2 linked regions of the Sus scrofa genome follow. The protein of the gene in region 1 interacts with the protein of each later gene in a biochemical or structural test. Links are inferred from orthologs where the notes say so. Each region holds a gene or a part of one and is shown on either strand. Other genes may lie near its edges. The genes, in order: ABCC4 and MPP1.

Evidence for each region.
Region 2: the proteins of ABCC4 (region 1) and MPP1 form a complex in vitro, tested with the Homo sapiens proteins (2 studies listed by BioGRID and IntAct, with this or other methods). The link is inferred for Sus scrofa from reciprocal best matches to the Homo sapiens genes ABCC4 and MPP1.

The regions. Positions count from the first base shown.
Region 1 is NC_010453.5:64,135,045-64,138,860, forward strand, and holds part of ABCC4 (multidrug resistance-associated protein 4), read right to left. Parts: intron 3,027-3,816; coding exon 2,876-3,026; intron 2,463-2,875; coding exon 2,343-2,462; intron 1,270-2,342; coding exon 1,159-1,269; intron 259-1,158; coding exon 158-258; intron 1-157. UniProt on the Homo sapiens protein: ATP-dependent transporter of the ATP-binding cassette (ABC) family that actively extrudes physiological compounds and xenobiotics from cells.
Region 2 is NC_010461.5:125,232,312-125,235,030, reverse strand, and holds part of MPP1 (55 kDa erythrocyte membrane protein), read left to right. Parts: intron 1-202; coding exon 203-309; intron 310-947; coding exon 948-1,028; intron 1,029-1,722; coding exon 1,723-1,803; intron 1,804-2,719. UniProt on the Homo sapiens protein: Essential regulator of neutrophil polarity. Regulates neutrophil polarization by regulating AKT1 phosphorylation through a mechanism that is independent of PIK3CG activity.

The sequences.
Region 1 (3,816 bases):
GATGTATATATTTTATTTTACATTAACTTTAAACAGATGGGAGTCTGTTAGCTACAATGGAAAATAACGGTTTCAGCTATTTTACGTGAGAACTGCATGCAGGTCGTTCAATAGAAAGAAGAATTGAAAAAGCCAGGAAGGCTACGATAGACATCACCATGTTCTCCACTTCGGCGCTTTGCCTGACGCACCACTGGAACATGCCCATGAGCGAGAGGGCGTAGGACAGCGCCAGGCCCACCTGCCCGGCATCCAAAGCTGCAAGAGAAGAAGCAGAAGAAGAATAACATCAAGGCCACGCTTACCCTCAAGCCCGGCCACTTCCATCACTTTACCAAGACTCCCTTGCGATTTTTAAATCATGTGCGTATGACAATAGCATTACTTGTACTTTGACTATCTACGGATGGACTCGATGATACGAAGGGGAAAAAAAAAGAAAAACAGACCAAAAAATCCAAATCGGAAGAATGCAGAAAGCTATTCAATACACTTGCACAGCACCACACAGGTGGGGGAATCGTGTTATTATTCAGACTTGCGTCATTATGGTCTCACTGATAATCTCACTTTCTACGTCCAAAGTAGCCGCAGCTGGAAACCACGAAAAACAAGGCAATGGGTTCTAAGAACACCAGTGCTTTGAAAACTAAAATAATACTCTTGACTGTTCCATTATTCAAGATTGTAATTCTGGGTTGTTATGACGGAATAGTTAGGGACGGTGACTTCATGCCAGGCGCGTCAACGCCTGCTCTTCTGGTACCCACAGCAGTGAGGGCAGTGTTTTCTCTTAGAGAATCTTTCTCACCTCAGTCTATCAGGCACTTGCAACCGCAAGATCCAAGCAGCGCTTCAGCTGAATCCTAAAGCGCTGAACCTACACAAAAAGCAAGTGTGCTTCTCTCCTCCCAAATATGGTCAGTTTGCTAAACTGGTGTAGACCTCGACCCACTCAAAAAAGATAAAAGGATAAAAGGTGTGCTTAAGACCCAAATGACTCCTCCGCCTGAGCCCCACACTACCAATGCCTGAACACATGTCATGGGGACCATACAGCCTCTGATGTTCGACTAGGTAGCAAAAGTTTCCCTTAATAACTGTAAATGCAGTTATATAAACTGCGATCGTAGCACAGTTATTCACATCTGTACTCACTTTTTGACAGAATCAGGGACCCGAAGGCAACAACAATGACAAACATGGCACAGATGGCATCCAGACGCACGGCGAACCATCGGGACGTGGTCAGAAACAAGAACCAGGCCTCTGGATTTGTGAAGCGGAATAAGGAGAGTGAATAAGCAGAAACACCATCTTAACCGCTTTGAGTAGGGGAGAGCTCTGTGCTAGGTTGAGCGACAGAAGATTGTGACACAAAGTAGGACAGCCAAGTTGAACATGTGAGGAGCCTGAAGAGTCCAAAAAGCAAGATTTTGACACAAGAGGACATGTGGGACACAGAGGAATCAGGCCAGGGGCCTTGTGAGACGCAAGCACGGGAGACTTCAACCCACGGGGTATAAACAGAAATATAACTGTAATAAAGAACACGGACAAACGGTACAATGGGTACATTCGCTGCAGGGCTGGGCCTCGGTGTCAGGCTTATCCTCTCATAGTGGCAACCGTTCCCAGTTCTCTGAGAGCAGAGCGCAGCAGCTAACAGGATCTGCACGTGGCTTGCAAAATGCCTTTCTTAAGCTCGAAATACAATAAAGATTGGAAAGGTGGGCCAGGATTTTTACAGACTTAGGGGAAATTCTGAAATTTCTACCTAAGGAAAAAATATCACTGCTGCAAAGAATAACATACATCAAGTGGGCGGAAACTCGGACTATGAGGCAGTTCTTTTCCTCAGTCACTTAGGCCACCTTGCATGCTTTGCAAAGAGAGGGGCAAACTACAACCTGGGGCCAGGAATAGCCCATCACCTACTTTTGCAAATAAACTTTTACTGGAACACAGCCATGGCCATTTGTATTATGTTTGCCTTGCTTTTCTGCAACCTGATTAGATACAACAGAGACAGGGTGGCACACAAAGCCTAAAATGTTTACTTTACTGTCTGGATCTTTTAAAAAAAAAAGGGTTACTGAATGCTGCAACAGGGTCCACAAAGCAACAGGGCACCATGATGCAAGGACCGTGCAAACCAGTCAGGGGAGTAAAATAGCGGTGTGACTGGGGACACGGAGGGAACGGAGAAGATGCTTTGAGGAAGGGGTGGGGGAGGATGTGCAGAGGCAGGCAGCGCAGAGAGAGAGCCACCTGAGAAGGAGGTCAAGCCGCAGAAGGCAGCATATCCCAACTCTTGAAATTATTTCTAGAAACGTACAGACCTGAGTGCAAATCCTGGTGAGCGTCGAACAGCTCCTGAAACCTCTGTTCAGCTTTGAACGCCCGGATGGTCCAGAGTCCCTGGAGAGAAGACGATAAGTGCGAAAACACCGGGCTCCGTGCTGGGGAAGCAGAGACACGACAGAGAAGGTCAGGGAGCCTGGATGCCAGGAAACAAACGACCTCCCCCACCCTGGGGTCGCAATTCCCACCAAAGGGCACACCGGGAGCTTCCTGGGGGGCTGCCTGGAGGAGGAGGGATTACACCCCTTCTGGAAAGGAAGTAGATACAGAGAACTATGGAACACAATATACCTCTTTCTTGGCTTGGTTTCTAGAAAGTTAGTATTAATTTGCAGCAACCATCCAGTCAAGGTTTCTGACATAAACATTGTCCAGATAACTTCTTTTAAACATAACAATTCTACTTCATGATTTTGTCTTAATAATGATGGTTATTTATTAATATTTTTACTAATTACAGCATAAATGGAAGCTAGTTTGCATTGTCATCCCAGAGGGCCCAGGTGCTCACTTGTAGCTTCCAGGCGTTTCACATCTCGTGATGTCTGTAAGAAATATCTCCGAAGAACAAAGAAAATGATGCCAAGGGGAATCAGAGGAATCGCAATCCAAGGAATCACCGCCACCGCGACTCCCACCACACCCATCACTTGTAGAAATGTCTGAAATAAAGAAAATAGATACAGAGCCCTCTCTATCAAACATTCTTATCAAAAATAAGTGTTAATGGGTTGATTTTTTTAGGCTTAAACTCCTTTCCACCAAAGGCAAGTCTGAAAAGTAGGGGATGCGTTCCTATCCAAGAAAAAAAACAAAAATTTAGGTGGTCCTCATGTTTATTGCAAGCTTACTATGTGCCAAACATGATTTTTAACAGATGGACTATTTCAGACTCAGACAGCAGGACCTGAGTTCCAAATTATGAACCAGTAGGTATTACTAGAGCAAGCAGGTAACACAGATGAGGAATCCAAAAGCCTCAACTATACCTGTATGGATAAAGAAAGGGTTAATTGCAAATTCCAAGACCAGGAAAGGGAGAAAAATTCAAATGTAGACCTCTGGAAATGAGAATTCCTCTTTCTAGGTTGGGTTTTTTTGGTTTGTTTGTTTTTGTTTTTTCTTTGCGTACTTAACATTTGCTGAATGTGCAGGGCTGTGCATTCAATACTTCACTCCTGTGAACTCACCATTCCTCGCAGTACCCTTACTAGTAATAGTCCAGTCTCATTTTATAGATGGAGACACTGAGGCACTGGGAGAGGAAAAGCAACTTGATTGAGACCACAAAGCAGAAGCCATGGATCTCAGGAACCCACGTCAGAAGCCATTATGATAAACATAAACTTGACCCCGACATACAGGGCAACCTTCTATCATTGTGCTATGTATTTTAAATATTCATTTCAAACAATTCTTGGGTGAAACCTTTCTCCTGAAAATACGCAATGA
Region 2 (2,719 bases), on another chromosome or scaffold:
GGACATCAGGAGTTCCCGTCGTGGCACAGATGAAGCGAATCCGACTAGGAACCCGGAGCTTGTGGGTTCGAGAGGCCCTGGGTCAGAGAGGGAAGGGGAGCGGGGGTGAGAGAGGGCCACACGCGGGCCGTGAGGGGCGCAGAGAGAGCCGGGGGCAGGTGCAGGGAAGGAGGCGGGTGACCCGGGCTGTCTCTCCCACCAGGCGAGTGGCGAGCACAGCGCAGTCGGCCCCGAGCGAGGCTCCGAGCTGCAGTCCCTTCGGGAAGAAGAAGAAGTACAAGGACAAGTACCTGGCCAAGCACAGCGCGAGTAAGCGTCCGGCTGCGGCTCCCGGGACCCACGGGGCGCGCAAGGCGGGCCGCGTCCCCTCTGCTGCCCCTGGGCCTTGCCCCCCGGGCCCGGCCCACGGCCCGCACGGCCGCCGCGTGTCCGTGTCCGCCGCCTTCCAGACCTTTCCGCCCGAGCGCGACCCAGTGCAGGGTCTGAGCAGCCCCGCGCCAGGCAGGCGTCCCCGAGGGCTGGGTCTGCCTGTGTTCCTGGCCTGCTGAGCTTGGAAACACCCGAAAACGCGCGCCGGTCCGAGCGGACTGCAGGAAACGTGGGAATGTGCCAGTTAGACGCCGCCCTCCCGCTCCTGCCCGTGCGCTTCTGGATCAAAACAGGAAGGCGAGCAGCTCCCGGAACCTGAAATCCCTGCGCCGGCAGGAGGCCTCGCCGCTGGGGGGACAGAGCCAGGCCCGGGCTGGGGGCCCCATCCGTGCCCCCGACGTCGGCGCGGCTGCTGGCGGCTGGGGGGCGGGACGCGGGCGACAGACTGGGGAGGGGGGTGGACGGGGAGGCGGGCGGGCAGTGGCCACCCGGACGCGCCGCCGTCACCCGCGCCCCCTGCTTGTCCCGGACACTGTCCCGGCTCCCGAGGGAACTTTGCTGGGTTTCTTCGTCTTTAGTTTTTGACCAGTTGGATGTCGTCTCCTACGAGGAGGTGGTTCGGCTGCCCGCGTTCAAGAGGAAGACGCTGGTGCTGATTGGTATCTGCCCGCAGCCTGGGGCCCCCTCCCCTCCCTCCGAAAAGGGCAGTGAGAGGCGGAAGCAAAAAGGCACACCCGAGGACTCTGTAGGGCCATGACCGGGACACCCCCCACCCCCGGGGTTCACCTTAGAAGCTAAAGGAAACCCGGCAGGAGTCCGAGCAGCTAATTCTCTCAGGTGCTCTGTGCACCTGCCGGCGCTCGGGTGTCCCCCCCACGCGGCTTTAACCGGCACAGCAGGGGACCCGAGAGCGCGGGTGGGGCCCCCTGACATGCCGCGTGCGTCCGGGCTGAAGAGATTAGCCGGGTTAGAGGATCTACATCCGGGTTCTGTTTAAAGTTCAGCACAAACTCTGGCTTCAGTTCCGTTCCCTTAGCTTTGGAGAGCGCCCAGCAGAGCGCGTATGCCTAGAAAATAAACAGCACATCCCGAGAGTGAGCTGGCTCCTCCGTGCAGATGACAGGCTCTGAATCCTGATCCTTAGCCTGTGGGAAGGGCCTCGAATCCTCCTCCACTTAAAGCAGTGCTTGTCCCTGACCCCAGCCTGGAAGCTGTGCCAACTCACTGTCACCTGTTGGTGATGTCAGGCTCTGCCCATTCATGTTCCAAGCCCCAGCTTTGTTTGGGGGGAAGAGACGGGAGCCCCCATTTGCCTCACAGCGGCCTCTGTGTTCTCCCTTCTCCCTCACGCAGGAGCCAGCGGGGTGGGCCGGAGCCACGTCAAGAGTGCCCTGCTCAGCCGGAACCCGGAGAAGTTCGCCTACCCCGCGCCCTGTGAGTAGCTGGCTCGGGGTCAAGAGTGGCTTTTTGCTCTGTGATTCTACCTTAAATGTTTGATTACAGAAACAGACGAGTGGTTCCCGCTGTGGTGCAGCGGGATCAGTGGTGTCTCTGCAATGCCAGGACGCAGGCTGGCTCCCTGGCCCAGCGCTGTGGGTCAAAGGATCCGGTGTTGCCGCAGCTGTGGTTACTGCTGCAGCTCGGATCTGATCCCTGGCCCGGGAACTCCATATGCCCCGGGGTGGCCAAACTGAAAAAGAAAGCAAGAGAAACATGAACATTTGGGTCTAAGATCCACATTTGTACCCATAATTGCTCCACATAACAAAGGAGCAATGCTGTTTGTCTCCCTAGCAGAAGCCGTGCTAGCCGTTTTTATCCTGCTCTTAAAAATGAAGTAAATAATGTTCTTAAAAACTTACATTACTTTTTCCATTTTATTTGTGGTATCAACATCTTCCCATATGCCCGCATCACTCTGAGCGCTCTTCCAGGCCCACTCGTTTTCACGGACTATTTTCCCAGTCACAGCCGTGCTCAGGCAGACCCCCGCGTGGCAGCGGCTGCCCAGAGAGAAGAAGCGGGCTGGGGGTCAGGTGGATGCTGAGATCCTTTCCAGCTCCAGAAGTGAATCTGTGGAGAAAGCTGGATGCTGAACCTGCTAGTGTTTTTTTCCTTGCCTCTCCACGTTTGCCTTTAGGGACATTCTGGGGTCAGAAAGCAGAAGGCTGTGGAGGTAGAACTGCCGGACGGCTGTTCCGACGAGTACCGATATGAGTTAGTTGTGTTCTTTCCAAAGGATGAGGAGGAGCCTTGACCTTAAGGAAATCCTGCCTGTAGCTTGTAGATCTGTCTGGAAAACATTTCCCGCCGTCACGCCTTCATTTCTGAGCTCCAGCGTCCCCGGGGC